Linked DNA regions of Drosophila melanogaster. The protein of the gene in region 3 interacts with the protein of the main gene of each other region in a pairwise test. Each region holds a gene or a part of one and is shown on either strand. Other genes may lie near its edges.

Region 1 (6,163 bases), on a different chromosome or scaffold from region 3:
GAAGTCGGACCGCTCGAACTGCTTTCCCGCCGCCAACTGGGCACGACGTGTCTCTACCGCACTGCCCATCAGGTCGACAAAGAAGCGTTCCACATCCACTGGCACGAAGCGTAGCTTAATCAAATGACTTAGCGATGGGAAGGAACTAGTCAGTATAAAGAACAGCACAAAGGTCCAGGGCTGGTTGAAGAGATCATTGATTTTCGACATTATGGGTGTGGGCTTATCCGAAAAGCTTTCAGCGCCCAGACCCAAAACACAATCGGTGACCATCTCTGTTGTGAAGCAGAGACTCATCTGTGGACGATAAAGTAGCAAAAAAAAAAAAAAAACAGGTTTGGTTTCATAGAATACGTACAACAGATAGTATAGATGGAATCTTACGTGCTTGGCATCGATGCCGTCTTTAGAACCCAGACGCAATTGCTTCTCCACCCACTCGGTCAACTTTTGGCACACCTTGTTTGTCACCGGATAGACTGTCTTTATCTGTAATTATGTATATTGGTTGGATCAGTACTTTTCGGGCTTGCCACTGGATGAACTGCCTCACCCGTCCCATCGTAAGACCAGGCGTTACGTCCGCCCTTCGAGTTTTCCACTTTTCGCCAGTTAACGAGAACGGATTGTTGGCGAAAATGAAATCGGTTTTCTCGTCAATATTCTTGGCGATCTCATTGTCGTGGAAGTTCTTAAAGTTGGACACAAAGACTCGACGCGCCAACGCGGGATTGATCACCAGCAGCTGTGGAGAGCGGCTGCCAAAAATGCCCACAGCATCGTACTTGTTCTTATACTGCCTGAATAAAATGATCGCATTAAATTCAAGTAAAGCGTAATTTTTTAAATGCGTTTTAAGAATGGTTCTTGGTTTCTTTGTGAAACAGTTGATGATCCATTGAATTTTGGTAGTTAATATAACCTTTCTAGCTGGGATAACTCACCTGTATATATCGTCTAGATCGTAGATTGCATGCCGCTTCATAGTAAACATGTTTGGATAGTTTCCGCACAATAGCTTTGGCTTGGGACCAGGAACGCCCCGTTTCCTCCAATAGTCATAGTTCCATACCAGCACGGCATACAGCAGGCCCACCACCAACGAAACCAGGGTCAAAGTAATCAGAACCATTTTCGATCGCTCTAAAATCTACGTCCACGCGCGACGAGTTCTAAACGGCGTCTGTTGTGGAATCAGATACTCTGCTCTATTTGTAGCTGCTCATTGAATTTGGGAGAGGTATTCAACAGTGTGGAATCACCGAGATACCTGAGTGAGTGCTCTGGGAGAGTAAACTACTCACACTTTCACCATAAACAGTTCTAACATATAAATGATAAGAGCTAATCATTATTGCAGGCGGTCGTCAATCGTCATATCAAGCAATTATTATTTATTTACGGTCTTGTTCTTTGTAGAAAAAAGCAATAACATTTGATGTTGCAACTCGACTAGCCGCAATGAAATTAACCATTTAGAATAAATTTAAGTATCTTTAGTAACCTAGGGCATATTTGAATGGCTGATGAAATATATACAGTAGTTGAAGGAAACATTATAGCGTTTGCTTCTGTCTTACATATTTTGCTTGCAATATTGGGATAAACAAATGCTCAGATAATCCCAAGCGGTTTATATGTATAGGTCTAGATTGTCGAGTCCTCAACGGATGTAGCTGATTTTGGAGCAACATGAAATATATAAATTTACATTTGCAGCTCAGTTGAATTTGAAACGTTGCGCCGAACTCATTTACATAGAGATCAAAGCTGAATTTTACAAGATTTCTGCTCTTTCCATAATGTCACACATCCAATGCCTTTGGGTGTGTCTGGGTTTTTTTATGCTACTCGTCGACTTCATTCAACCCATCGGCTTGAATGTTTGTAACCGATCGCAGGTGGTTACTTACAAGAGATATGTCGAAAGGAGTAGAGTGATACCATACCAGCATAGATCTTTCTGGAGTGGTTGGCAGACAAAATACCGCACCGAGTATTATACAGACGAAGAGGTAAATACAAAACTTTGAGTAAAATATAAATGGGGAACGGAACTAGTCTCCCTAAAGCTAATAATACAAATAATTATAAAATACTAAAAGATTCCTATGTACAAAGCAAACGAAGATATAGTGTGCTCGTTATCTGGAATTCATTAAAAATCCAAGAGAAAAGAACATTACATTAATTGAGGGTCCAGTTCTGTTTAATTCATCGGACAGACTGGTTGCTTTAAGATAGTGAATATATATATGGTATATACTTCAGGAAACGAATTGACTCGCATTACTCATGGATTTTACTGCATTTTCACTGCATTTTGTGTGTCTGTCATTGTCCTTTGGCACAAGTTTCGCCATTTTACGGCATGGCCTAAATGATTGCAGTCACCCGGAAAGCGTTCCGTATAACCGTAAGGTTCTTAAAAGTAAATTGGTTCCGTTTCAACAGTATTCATACTTTCATGGTTGGGTTACTAAGTACAGGCATCAATATGTCTATGAAGATGAGGTAATTCGAATTTGTACATAATTTATATTATTATTTATAGCTTTGGTAAGTGTGTAGTTAAAGTTTCCTTTAAAGAGGCTTTTTCTCCTGTTCTCTAGACTGCCTACAGGACCGTAATGAGACCCAGTTGCTGTGAGGGCTACGAAGGATCCGTTGAGAACTGCAAACCTGTCTGCAGACAACAGTGTCCTCAACATGGATTCTGCTCGTCCCCCAATACTTGCAGTTGCAATGCGGGCTACGGCGGTATCGACTGCCATCCCGTTTGCCCAACGGTATGTGGAAAAAACGAGTTTTGCGATCGCCCCGGAGTCTGTAGCTGCCAAAATGGCTACAAACGAACTTCTCCCAGCGACAATTGCCTTCCAGTTTGCGAAAAGGAATGTGGACACCATAGCTTTTGCTCGGAGCCCGGGAAATGCGAATGTGAACCTGGGTACGAGAAAGTGGGAAACGGCACCGTCTTTCCAGATGGATACAAGAACAATTCAAATGGCAATTGCTCGCCCATTTGCCCAAAGGATTGTGGCCAAAACAGCCGATGTGTGAGGCCAGGTGTGTGCGAGTGTGAAAATGGATATGCCGGTGACGACGGAGGCACCAATTGCCGACCCGTGTGCTCCACTTGCCCGGAGAACGGATTATGCTTGAGTCCCGGCGTTTGTGTCTGCAAGCCGGGCTACGTAATGAGAAATGATCTCTGCCAGCCGCATTGCGAAAAGTGCTCGGATAACGCACACTGCGTGGCGCCCAACCAATGCGAGTGCTTTCCGGGCTATGAGTCGTCGGGGGCGGACAAGAAGTGCGTACCCAAGTGCAGCAAGGGATGTACCAACGGCTTTTGCTTTGCACCGGAGACTTGTGTTTGCAGTATTGGCTATCAAATGGGTCCCAATCAAGTCTGTGAGCCAAAATGCAGCCTAAACTGTGTTCATGGCAAGTGCACCAGTCCAGAAACCTGTACCTGCGATCCGGGTTATCGCTTCAAGGACAACTCCCATCACGAATGCGATCCTATTTGCGACAGTGGCTGCAGCAACGGACACTGTGTGGCACCCAATTTTTGTATATGCCACGATGGCTATCAGCTCAATAGCACAAATCCTGTCACTTCTATGTGTCAGCCGATCTGCAAAGGCTGCCAATTCGGAGACTGTGTGGCACCGAATGTGTGCGAGTGCAACGTGGGCTATGAGAATATTAACGGACTATGCGAGTTACAAACCACGACGGACTCCTATGAATACAGCACCACAACTGTGGAGTTGCAATCATCAACTGTAGACCCTCAACTGCAGACATCAACCAGCGAGGTTCCGCACTCAAATTGCACTGCCGGTTGCATGTGCTGGATTGAATACGATGGGATGGGTACTTTCAATACAGCCAAGTGTGCCAAGATCTGTGTTGATCCCCAGGACAAGCCGTGCCTCAATTTGGACAATTGCCAATGCGATTTATCGAGTGGTCAACTGGTGTGCCAAGAGGATAGTGACATGGATTACAGCGGGGAGAATTCGCGATACGTTTGTCATATTTTGCCAGAGCAGGGGGCAAGATCAGAGGCTGAGGTACGGATTCCTGACCGAACTGGATCGTCTAACAAGTGGATGATTATCGTAGGCTCCTGCGCTGGAATGATCATTGGTGTGGCCGCCACAATCATTGGCATAAAGTACTATCGACGTTCTACCTCTAGGCGAAATTTTGAAGCCGAAGAAGCCATTGTTGAATGTGATTTTGAATAGTTTGAATCCACACAAAATCACTTATCCTTTCAAAATCGCTTGTAAAATTGTTAAATTACTTGAATTAAAAAATGTAATAACATGAAATAAATTTATAATAATAATTATAATAATTATTTGTTGGTAATGTCCTCAAGCTTAAAAGAATAACTGGACCATTTAGGTACGGAATGCAGGACTCACTATAAATGTAAGCAAATGTCAATTGTGCTTACTTAAAGTTGACTATCTAGGTTTCATCAAAAGAGGGTACTTTACAAGTACGAGATATATATTACGTCTAACTGTAATAGTTAAGAAGATTTATACGAATACTTTACGAGTACTGGAAAAGAAAACGCTGATACCAACCAGTCGTATCAGCGTTTCCTTTTTCAGTACTTGTCATATATGTATCTATTCCCATACAGAGTTTCTGTGTGGTTAATCAATCCAATAGATAAAACGCACGCTTTAATAAATCGTGATATCAAACATATATTTTGGCCAAACACTTCCTCCACACGGAGGAGCTTTCAATAGCTGTTGTAAAGGCAGAGTTTTTGTAATGCTCTAAAACTGTATAACTTTTCATAATAACAATACAATGCAAAAAAACCGGAAACTTGCAGTTTTATAAACTGATCAAATCCGTGAAGTATTGGTATGACAACCCCTTTGTTTTTCAATACCTTTCGTTTTGTGTTTGGAGTTTTAAGTTTGGACAACCACAGCAATTTTTTGTTTATTTACATTAAAATAGTTTGTTCATCACTATATAAGGGAAATTATTTCTTTTTAAAAAATTATTTTTGTATTAACCATTATCATTAGTTACAGGAAACGTTTGGAATGACACACAAAAGTGATTGAGTCATATTTACTACTAAATCATTGGAGGCCTGTTAAGCATACATACATACATATATAATATGTAATATTTAAAATATGTAAAATGTTCGCGGACTAATAAAACGACTGAGATCAACTGATTTGTAATCCTCATATTTTTTAGAATGAGAAAAAAGTTGTAAGTCAACCAAAACATACCACTCAATAAATTCATAAAATGAACTCGACGAGCTTAACGTTTAAAAGTGTATTTAAATCCTTTACTCACCTTTCTTTTTTTATAAAAAAGTAAGAAATAATTGTACAATTACTTCTTACTTTTATAAAGCCAATTAAATTAAAAATAAATACACTGGTTACATATTTTCCTCCTTATTGGATATACCCGAAAAGCTTTCATATAAAGGGTACTAATCTCGCTCCGCAGAAGGCAAGCGAAATTTTAAAGTTTAGTTCATTTTTTGGCACTCGGCGGAGCAGTTCACACTAAGTTTACATAAGTCACTAATATGCATAATTTTCAACTGACCGTCGTTTTCCTGGCACTGTTCACTTTTACCAGTTCCTTTGGATACCGTTCTGAACATCCGCACAGAAAACCAATACATGTACGTACTTTTTCTGTCTTTTAAAATCAATAACATTAAATACCCATGACAAAGGGTCAAATTGCATATGCAAATGACATACAAATATGTTAGTCTAAATATTACATATTTATAGGTATTTAATTAAAAAAATTTAATTTTAAAAACCAAGAATTATCATAATTTTTTGTTTTTGTCAGAGCAACCGTCCATCTCCAACTACTACAATGACAACAGATTCAACTTCAACTAGCTTTATGACAACAGATTCAACCCCAAGTGAAACGGAATCCACTTCGGATACATCTACTGAAGAAAGTACACAGATTTCTGACTTCACCGAAAGTTCAACCGAAAGTTCGACGACAGCAAAGATATTTTTAAAGGACAATGAGATTTCAAAACCAGAAAACAGCAACACTTTACTTATCAGTGTGTATGGCATTGTAATTACCTTGGCTATTTTAGTTGCTCTAATATACT
Region 2 (5,270 bases), on a different chromosome or scaffold from region 3:
AGGTGAATCGGCTATTGTACGTGCGGAACCTGCCGTACAAAATCACCTCGGACGAGATGTACGACATATTCGGCAAATTTGGAGCCATTCGACAGATACGCGTGTAAGATTGAAGATGATAATGCTATTCGCCGTGAATCCTCTCAATCAATTTGTGTATCTTTTGCAGAGGCAACACTCCGGAAACGCGTGGCACCGCCTTTGTCGTCTACGAGGACATTTTCGATGCCAAGAACGCCTGTGACCATTTATCGGGTTTTAATGTGTGCAATCGCTATCTGGTGGTGCTCTACTACCAATCCAACAAGGCCTTCAAGCGCGTGGACATGGACAAGAAACAGGAGGAACTGAACAACATTAAGGCCAAGTACAATCTGAAGACGCCTGAAGCTCCTTAGAACCCACACTTGGTGCGGCAGGCGGTGATGGGGCATAGCCAGACATTGGGCCCCACCAGATGACGCCCCCACTTCCATCGACCATTTTCCATTGTTTAGGGAACTTCTTGCTCTGCTTATGTGTATACCAAATTTTTGCTATCTACTTGTAGATTTTTTTGATCGCATTTTGTATCATTTGAATCTAATCATTATCATCCATCCATCACTCCATCTATCATATAAACGGCCGGATATCGCGGAACGCAGACATTTGCGCCCGGTTCCGACTGTTTGCAATCATTTGACGACATTAAGACACTCTCTCATCAAAATAACAAGCAAGTGAAAGTAAAAATAAAAAAAAATTGAAAAACTAGAATCGTTTGTTTCGATTTATGACCAATTTTTTTTAAAACTAGTTTTAGTCCAAAACCATTTGTAGTTATTCTAAAGTGTGTCATTTGGGTCAAGTTTATTTAACAACTTAGAAATAGGATAACAAGTAATAGTTAAATATTAACCAACAATAAAAATTCCCACTATTATGGGAAGTCTTTTGCCCTATGTAATCGTAAACTATTCTGCGATTAGGGTTCCTCCTTAAGGTCAGGACCAGTTTGGCTAGCTGCCGCTGCCTATTACTTTTCGTATGTGTCTTGCTGCTTCTCCAGTGCCAGTTGGTTCTTCAAATCCTTGAGCTCCTTCTTGGCGACCTTCGCAATTTCCTGCCGTAGTGCCTCAACCTTTTGTTTACGGTCATTTCTCTCCCCCAGAGGCTTCGCCGGCTTTTCGTCATGGACTTTTTGGTGTCGGATGAGCGCCGCTACCTGGCGAAAGCGATTGCCACACGTCTTACACTCGAAGGGCTTTTCGCCAGTGTGTATCCACTCGTGTTGCTTCACGGATTGCGAGTTGGCAAAGCGACGGGAGCAGAAACGGCACTCAAAGTCCTTGACTTTTTCGTGGACGCTCTTGTAGTGGCGCTTCATGTTGCCTATGCTCTTGAATCCCTGACTGCAGCTGGGACACAAGTACATACCCTCCTTTTGCACAAACTGAATCTCGTCTGTGGGATTCACTGCGGTCCCTGCCAATAGGGCCACATCAACTTGCTCTACGCGGCGGGGATTCTTAGGAATGCTGGCTACGGATTCGGCGTAAACCTTCAGCAGCTGATGTGAGTCCACTTGAGTGTCACTGGCATCGCCATTTACTTGCACCTGTTTATAAGTTTCCAGAGCCCTTTCCACGCTCTTCTCATGAATCTTCAGATGATTGTTGAGACTCTCCGAATGCAGGAACTTTTTGTCACAAACCTGCAAGGCGAAAATATATCAGACTTTGGTAACAAGGGTATAATGGTAATTCCCTTACCTTGCATTCGCAGCGCTTCTCACCAGTGTGCGCCATCTCGTGTATTTTGCAGGCGTATGCTTTCCCGAACGTCTTTCCACAGTACTGGCAAGCAAAATTCCGGATTTTCTCATGTACGATCTTAACATGGCTCTCTAGCACCCGCTTCGTGTGGGTGGCATAGTCGCAGATGCGGCACTTAAACTGGTTCCGTTGGGTGTGGATCAGAATGTGCTTACTCCATTCCTGGCGGGTGGTCTTTCGCACTCCGCAGTACTGACACACGTAGTTCTTGATGCCAGCATGCCGGAGAAGATGATTCTTTAGGGCACTATTGATGTAAAAGCCCTTGCCGCAAATGGTACACGGATAGGGAAGCTCTTCGCCCGTGTGCGTGTACATGTGCTTCTTCATAGCCACCGGGCAACGAAACACCACGCCGCATTCCTTGCAAGACTGTTCACCCCGCGGAGCAATAACCCTCGCCTGGTTGTGAACCTTTTTCAAGTGAATGGTCAGCAGCCGGAGACGGGAAAAAACCAATTGACAGCCCTCCACGGTGCAGGGAACCGTATCCTCCTTCTTGGAGTGCGCATAGTCCACGTGCAAACGCAGTGCACCGGCTGTGGTGAAGCCCTTTCGGCAGCTTTCCTCCTGACACTGAAACGGCAACAGGTCATTGTGGTGCTTCATGTGCTCCTCGAACTTTGATTGCTTTTTGAACTTTTGCTGGCAGATGGAACAGCTCATAAGGCGAAACAGTTTACGCTTGTCGTTCGCAATCCGTCGCTGCCCCATGGCCTGCTCATCGTCGCTGTTGAACCCTTCCGACTCCTTTTTCTCCTCCTCCAGTCCGTTGTGCTCTGCACTGGAGAAGTGCTCCTCGCTTTGGTCCCTTGAATGCTCCTCTAGTTCCTTGTCAACTTTTTCCAGCAACTTGAACACATCCTCCTCGTTGTCAATCATCTCTAGTTTGTTATTCAGCAGCGGATCGAAACTGGCCGGCTCCTCTGGCCTTTCAGGTGCCTCAGAATCATCAGCTATAGATTCGAATACACCCATGGGCATATTCCTCTGGCTGGTCATCATTTCCTTTAGACGTTTAATAGATTCTGCGCACAGTTCGCGGAAGTCATGCAGGTCGTTCAGCTTGGTGAAACATTGGGTGCACAGGTTTCTCGGGAAACCGTCGTTTTGATCCGCATCAAACGAAGTGCACGCCCTGAGCTTCTGGAACAGATCTGGAACCACGAAGAGATCGTGTCCAGCACCATGCTTCAGGTGGACAAGGCAGGTGAGACAAAGCGATTGGACGGAGTACTTGAGCTCCATAGTGCCCATTTCCCTCAATTCTCGGGCAGATAACAATCGAAGCTTCTAAACAAATTTGTTCCAGTGTGACAGGCAGTCTGACCGTTTCGCTATGCCATTAACCCATTACGGTGTAGTGGGGTGGCAAGTAAACAGCATACTTGGATTCTTATTTTTATATTAACTTGTTTTAATGTAAGTGCTTTTTAGCAAGACCATGCATGCGTCTAGTTAAAATACATTTATTTATTATTTATTTTTGACTTTATTTCGATACAGAAATCTTGTACGTTCATTTTCGTATCAAATTTTCTTGATGCCCAGTTTGTATATTTTCAAATGTCGTTGCTTATTATTAAAAGCAATTTGTTTTACATGTTTATATATACATACTAATACAAAAAAATTTGTTTTATATTTTTTCTATATATACATACCATTATCTATATATTGTAAGTTCAGTTTCGTTTTTGTTACTATGGTGCTCAGTTTGCAAAATATTTTTAAAAAACCCTGAAATACTATTTGAAGTATACAAGCAATATCTATTTAATTAAATTAGTTGTATATATATATATTTTTTTTTTTTGTATATTGCAACCTAATTAGAATTGCAAATAAGAAGGTAAGAAAAAACATTGATTGTCCAGCCCTGAAACGCAAAACAACTACGCACTCGGACGAGTAACTCGCTGGCAGAAGTACTTGCTTATTGCCCACTCGCCCGATTGCCAGTCGACGAGTATACAATTTTTTCTGTGTCAATATTATTTTATTGCTTACTGACCGGAGAGAGACGCAAAAAGCTATAGAAAACCGCCCCGATCCGCAGTGCCGATTGCGATTGAAAGCAAGATGAACGAGGGCAGGCAGTACTCGATCCACAGCCTGTGCAGGATCTGTCTGAACCACCTGCAGAACGACGCCGCCTACGATTTGTATCTGGTTCCAGGACTTTCGAAGAAGCTATGCTTCTGCACATCCCTGTCCGTGGAGCAAAACGACGGATTCCCGAAGAACCTGTGCACCCTGTGCTACACCAAGCTGAACGAGCTGCACGACTTTCAGAAACAGTGCGTCGATTCCGTGCAAAAGTTCCAGGATCTGGTGGCCAGCAATGTCTTTGCCTGCCAGAGCAGCTTCGACGTCTTCGATCCCAACGTTGCCGTGCAGGACTACCCGGCCGAGGAAGAGGACCACGTCAACTATGACCCGCTGCTGAACCACAAGATGGAGCTAATCGAGAACGAGGAGGATGTCTTCAAGATGCTGGAGCACGTCGACAAGGAGGCCGAGGAGGTGGAGAAGGAGGCCAAGGTGGAGGAGGATGACGGGGGCAACGTTTCCGTCAAGATGTTCGACGACGATTCGTCCATCGAGAGCGGCAATGACAACGACCACGATCTGGACTTCGAGCCAAATAGCAGCGATGATGACATTCCGCTGGCCCAGCGCATGAGGGGACCAGCTACCGGATCAGGACCCCAGCAGGACCGTTTTAGCAACCTAGACAAACCCAAGCCGAGGCCCCGGGGACGGCCCAAAAAGATAAAACCGCCTCCGCCAGAGGAGGAGGAGTTGAGCGACTCATCCTCCGAATCAGATGACTCCGAAGACGGCACATCGCGGGGCGACAAGCCGAAGAGGAAGCGCATTCCCATCGAGGAACGCCACCTGCACCGCATCATCGACTGCCACATTTGCCACCAGAAGTTCAAGAAGGCCATCCGCTACGAGGAGCACATGAAGTACCACAACGACCTGCTGCCCTTCCAATGCAAGGTGGAGACCTGCAAGAAAGGTATAACGCTGGCTTAAGTATAAATATAAGTATCCGATCTCTATGAAATCCCACCTTACAGGTTTCACTACCGCCAATGGGCTGCGCATTCACATCGACCACGCCCACACAGAGCTGTCCGAGGTTCACGCCTGCATCGCCGAGGGCTGCGGCAAGACCTTCCCGCGCGTCCGTCTGCTCACCTTCCACATGAAGAAGGTGCACGGTATCACCAAGGCGGCTGCCCCGCTTCGAGATTTCCCCTGCACAGAATGCGACACCGTATTCCGCTGCCCCACAGCACTCAAGAAGCACATGTATAAGCACACGGGCGAGGAGCTTCCGTATCCTTGCAATATCTGCGGCAAGCGTTTTGTAATCAATAGTGCTTTAAGGGATCACCTTATGCGTCACGCAGGCATCAAGAACCATGTGTGTCCGTACTG
Region 3 (5,441 bases):
TATCTTCGTCCAGAGCCTCATCAAATCGCGTTTCCTCGGCTTGAGGTGAGTTATTGACTGGCTTGACGTACTAAACACAAGATTCCATTAGACTACATGCACAATTTGAAATGAATTTCATTAACTAACAGGTTTGCCCAAGAATTTGGCCGTCAGCTGGGCCATAAAATCCTTGGGATAAATGGTCCATTCCTCCCATGTGCGGATAACATTGCAGACTCTGGATTTAAAGCCCTCAGCTTTCAATCTACTCTCGATGTTCAAGTAGTAGTTATGCAGGTTATCAAAGATGTCCAACAATTGTTTTTCCACACTAAATAATAGGGGATATTTCAATGTGTATGCTTTGATAAACATATATACATACGATTTACGGAAGAACGAAGCATTCGCAACTTTAACAGTGCAGTTGTGCAGTATATCTGAGATCAGATAAAGTCGAGCAATCTTCTTTGAAGCCAATGTATTGATATTTGACAGAGACTCGGCGATGCACTCGCAGATTTCATCAGCCGCATCTGCGTGCTCAATGCAGAAGATCATGGCATCTCCAATGCGGGCGCGTTCAGGAGTTAAGTGCCTAATCAAATCCTCGAGTCGGTTGCGTTGCCTATTTCAGTATACATTTACAGTACAGTAAACATTTATGTTTCGAGGATTATCTATGCTAAACGTACGCATTGGACAAGGCTCCTTTGTGCACCACAGGAGCATCGGGATCAACAACCAGCTCATCTGGCATGCCTTGAGTGTAGAAGTTGGCAATCGGGGGCTTCCAAACCGGTCCGTTTTTAAACATACGGAATTCCTCCTCCCGCCATTCATTGGGCGTATCGCCCTGTAGCAAAGAGAACAGCTTCCATCGGTAGTAGATGTGGGCAGGACTCTCGTTGTCGAAGAGGAACGCAAAGAGCGGATTCTCCATTTCCCGAATCATGATCAAAGCCTCAAACATCGGTCCCTCGCGTATTACAAACTCGATCATCCGATGGATAACATTAAGAACAGCCCTGGAAAAAAAGAAAAGCACAGTAACGTGAGTTCTTGTTAAGTGAATGTCCTTGGTGCAATTCATACTTCTCTGTGGGTATATGGACTTTAACGACGCATTTGGCAAGTATCTACAAAATTGAACATTTTCATTTTTATTTCTTTAGACGCTAGCAGGTGATTATTCACTTACCCGCTCCATATTCTCTTTGTCCTCTTGGTTGAACTCCTTGTAGTTTTTCTTGGGCAGCACATCAGCTTCACTGGGTGGAGGTTGGGCATTGAAGGGCAATCCTGAAGGAGGCGGAGGCAGGGTCATCTCAAGCAATGCTTGCGGTGTAAAAATGGGCGTATTCATTATGGGCACAGTCTTTCCTGAAATATTAAGTAAGATGTATGAGGAATAAGAACTTCAATATAAGATCTATAGATTACCCCATCCTAGACGCATCTCGTAGCCCATGATGTAGCGCCCGTTCAGTGTCTTTAGGGCCCTTTCCGCATCCTTGCGGCTCATGTAGGCCACAAAGCCGCAATTGCGTCCCCTTTGCTTCTCCTCTTCGGAGCGGGGCCACATGATCTTGATACTGGCCAAGGGACCGTATCGCCCAAAGATTTCCATAAGCTGCTGCTCGGATATCTTGGGGTTCAGGTTGCCCAGGTACAGGTTTGTGGTATTTGGATCGCCCGTGTCAAACGAACCAGACTCCTTTGAGCTGCTTGAGTTCTGGGAGGTGGTGGAGACACTGCTGCTGGGCACAGGAGCAGCTGATGCAGCCGGTTGCTGTGCTGGTGCGGAATGGCTTGAGGCCATGTGCTTGTACTTGTGGCGCTCCTCACGCTCCTCTTGAATCCTGTGGGCATGAAACAATTAGTATGGAATACACACATGCACAACCAAGTGGGCCTACTGTCTCAATTCCTCCTTGAACAGCTCCAAGTTGCTCTTTTTCTTCTCCTGGTTTTTCTTCTTCAATGGACCCGAGTCCTTTTTGAGATCCGAGGCCAGGGTCTTGGCGTAATCCTCGACCTTGTCCGAGGAGCTCTTTTCCATCAGCTTGGAGACCGGCTTGTATAGCTTGCCCTTCTCCGACTTGTCCTCCCGCCGGGATCCTGCATCATAGGTGCCGGCTTTGACCCAAACTTTCGAGGAGGGGGTGGGTGCATCTTGGAAAGTCTCTACGAACTCTTTGAAGGCCTAAAAATCGTATTGGATTATAATGCGTGGAGGAGGGATTTGCTAGAGGCGCCTACATGTGCCGCAGCAGCTGCATCCTCCTTTTTTTTCTGGTCCTCGAGCTCTTTTTTGGACAATTGTCGTTTGGAGAAGGTGCCCACCGTGAAGGCCTCCAACTTCTTTTCGCTTATCCGCTGAAAACAAGACCGAAAAATGTTAGGCTCGTTTTTCCGGCTACACAGGACACCTTTACTTTTAAAGTGGCGGATGCGGCAGCCGAATCCTTGCTTTTATTCCCTTGTTTACTCATCTTTTCCACACAATATGCACATTATCAGCAAATACGAAAATAGGAAAACCAACAATTTGCCAGTGTGACCGACGTCGTACAACCAGTGCACAGAATGAACAGCGAACAAATCACGATGCAGCCGATAGTTGCGATGGGAGTTATCGACAGAGCTATGTAAATGACTACTTTTTATTATAGTTTTATCAAATAAATGCGAAATGGATATCTGCCGCCTCTGTTTACGCGGAGTGAGCGGCGCCCAGATGTGTCTACAGATCTTCGATGTGGACTCGGGCGAGAGCAAGGTGGCGGAGGTGCTGCGCCAACATTTCTGGTTCGAGGTAAGCTGCTGCCCTCCACCCACTTTTGTGCCTGGGAATCTTTTTTTACCACCATCTCGTCTCCGGAACGCGTACAGGTACTGCCCAACGACGAGATATCCAAGGTTATTTGCAACGTCTGCTGGACGCAGGTGTCCGAGTTCCATCAGTTCTACGTGTCCATACAGGAGGCCCAGGTGATATACGCCACCACCTCCAAGTTCAAGCAGGATCCGGAGATGGTGAACACCTCCTGGCCGGAGGAGGTGCTCATGCCGGCCGACGTCCTTGCCGTCGACAACGATGTCGGTGCGCAGATAAATGTGAATCCCCTGGACGAGTTAGACCTTAGCCAACCCATGTCCCCGGAAGACAGCAAGGTGGGCATCAAAACAGAGCGACAGTCACCCGACATGGAACTCCTCTTTGAGGATGCCAACAATGAACAGGATGAGGACTACGAGGACGACGAGGATGATGACACCGACGACCTGATCGTGACCCGGAGTGGACGCAAACGTAAACGGGACGTGGCCAAGCCGGCTAAAACGAAAAGAGGAACGGTGTCGGTGGGCAGAAAGGGGAAGGAGAAGATGGTGGTCAAGCGGGGACCGCCCAAGAGGATATTCAAGATGGAACGCCTGCCGCCGTTTTGCAAAGAGGACGAGGAACTGATCAAGCGCTACATAGTCATGGGCTGCGAGCTGTGCATATTCTTGGCCGAGGACTTCGACGGCATCCGCGAGCACTTCAAGGACAAGCATCCGGACGAGCGGCCCTACATCAAGTGCTGCGGACGCAAGCTCAACAAGCGCTGCCTCATCCAGGAGCATGCGAGGAGGCATGAGAATCCCGAGTACATCAAGTGGGTCTCTCTTACCCAAACCAATTCGAAGCGATTTGATAATTAGCTTTCCTTTCCGACAGATGCAAGGACTGCGGAAAGGTGTTCGCCAATTCCAGCGTATTGCGTGCCCACTGGCTGGTCCACCATGTTCCAGACGAGGAGTGCGACTTCCAGTGCGAGGACTGCGGCAAACGCTTCTCGCGACGCAACCTGCTCGAACTGCACAAGGGCTCCCATGTGCCCGTAAATGAGCGCAAGTTCATCTGCCCGCAGTGCCCCAAACACAATGCGTGAGCCTCGCCAGCTAAACGGCAGTGTTTCCAATGCTTATCGTTCTCCTTTCACACCACAGTTTTGCCACGGAGTACCACATGCAGGTCCATATCAGCATGCAGCACCGCAAGGCGGCCAATATCTGCCATGTGTGCGGCAAGAAGATCAAGGACAAGGCTGTCTTCGAAAAGCACGTTCGCCTGCACTTCGAGGAGAGCGGACCACGGATCAAGTGCCCGCGTCCTGACTGCGAGAGCTGGCTGAAGGACGAGGACAATCTTAAGCAGCATTTGAGGCGCCACAACGACGAGGGCAAGCTGTTTATCTGCTCAGAGTGTGGCAAGAGCTGCAAGAACTCCCGCGCGCTGATTGGTCATAAGCGCTACTCCCACTCGAATGTGATCTACACCTGCGAGCAGTGTGGCAAAACCTTCAAGAAGGACATCAGCCTTAAGGTTGGATAATACATATTACCCTTATTTATTTATGTGTTGTATTAAAGCGATTGATGTTTGCAGGAGCATATGGCGCAGCACACTGGCGAGCCACTCTACAAGTGTCCCTTCTGTCCCCGCACCTTCAACTCCAACGCCAACATGCACTCCCACAAGAAGAAAATGCATCCGGTGGAGTGGGACATCTGGCGAAAGACGAAGACCGGTAGCTCACAGAAGGTCCTGCCCAGCGCCCAAGTGGCGCAAATGTTCCGGGACGATGCCGATGTCGCAGCTATTGCCAATGACTATTCGGGTTAGGCCCGGAAATGCTTAAGGAAATCGATTTGCGGAAACCATTGCTTAGTTTTTGATTGACCTTTGTTTGAAAACAAAATATATGTATAATAGGAATTATTTGAAAGTACGAGCGGTTTGTTGTCATATTGGTGGGATTTTTGGCTATTTACATTTTAATTAAGTTTTTTGAATTTAAATGTTTCATTTAGCTACATTCAGAAATATTGTTTTTGAATTTAAAAAATTTACAGTGTGAATGTCTTGAATTTTTCAATTGGAAAAAAAAGGTATGATGGTTGAAGTATCCGCTTTGTTTATTACAGTAGACTGGTCACACTGCCAGCTGCTAAAATAATAGAAAACAGTCTGCGTGGACAAACATTTAATTAAAATGAATGTAAGCACTTTATTAACGAAATCTTTGGGAATATTTCGCTCATCAGCATTTTATTTGAGCAGGAGTCCGAGATCCCCATCGACATACACACGCTGAAGCTGCAGGACTGGCTGATCAGCCGCAGAATTGTGCCCAAGAATGTGCAGCAGGAGCTTAGGGAGATCCACAGGAAGATTAGCAACGCCCTGCAGGACATGCCCTCCAATGAGCAGCTGATCAAGCTGTTGGCCCGGACAAGTAGGTGCCCAGTGCCCAGAATGCCATCCCACTAATGTGTCCCACTTGCAGATATCAACTACTACCATGTGAAGGAGATCATTGAGATCCTCAAGCAGACGGAGAAGGACACCAAGAGCGTGTTCGGCACCTACGGCAGCCAGCGCATGAAGGACTGGCAAGAGATTAGCCGCC

What was found. The genes of interacting proteins can lie anywhere in the genome.
Region 1: the proteins of grau (region 3) and NimC1 interact in a two-hybrid assay, tested with the Drosophila melanogaster proteins (one large-scale study listed by BioGRID).
Region 2: the proteins of grau (region 3) and CG7386 interact in a two-hybrid assay, tested with the Drosophila melanogaster proteins (one large-scale study listed by BioGRID).

Annotation. Positions count from the first base shown.
Region 1 is NT_033779.5:13,972,329-13,978,491, reverse strand, and holds NimC1 (nimrod C1), read left to right. Parts: upstream 1-2,237; 5' UTR 2,238-2,295; coding exon 2,296-2,514; intron 2,515-2,612; coding exon 2,613-4,262; 3' UTR 4,263-5,334; downstream 5,335-6,163. Other genes in the region: Cyp28a5 (cytochrome P450 28a5), read right to left, coding at 1-297, 385-489, 554-800, 945-1,132; He (hemese), read left to right, coding at 5,603-5,701, 5,881-6,163.
Region 2 is NT_037436.4:6,187,609-6,192,878, reverse strand, and holds CG7386 (uncharacterized protein), read right to left. Parts: upstream 3,135-5,270; 5' UTR 3,066-3,134; coding exon 1,755-3,065; intron 1,697-1,754; coding exon 1,019-1,696; 3' UTR 830-1,018; downstream 1-829. Other genes in the region: Sf3b6 (splicing factor 3b subunit 6), read left to right, coding at 1-103, 170-398; D19A, read left to right, coding at 3,900-4,845, 4,907-5,270.
Region 3 is NT_033778.4:21,009,082-21,014,522, reverse strand, and holds grau (grauzone), read left to right. Parts: upstream 1-2,601; 5' UTR 2,602-2,677; coding exon 2,678-2,800; intron 2,801-2,877; coding exon 2,878-3,644; intron 3,645-3,706; coding exon 3,707-3,916; intron 3,917-3,978; coding exon 3,979-4,354; intron 4,355-4,417; coding exon 4,418-4,654; 3' UTR 4,655-4,759; downstream 4,760-5,441. Other genes in the region: CG9346 (uncharacterized protein), read right to left, coding at 1-70, 130-313, 368-610, 678-1,010, 1,078-1,121, 1,184-1,365, 1,426-1,844, 1,902-2,188 and 2 more; CG30291 (uncharacterized protein), read left to right, coding at 5,025-5,030, 5,093-5,267, 5,319-5,441.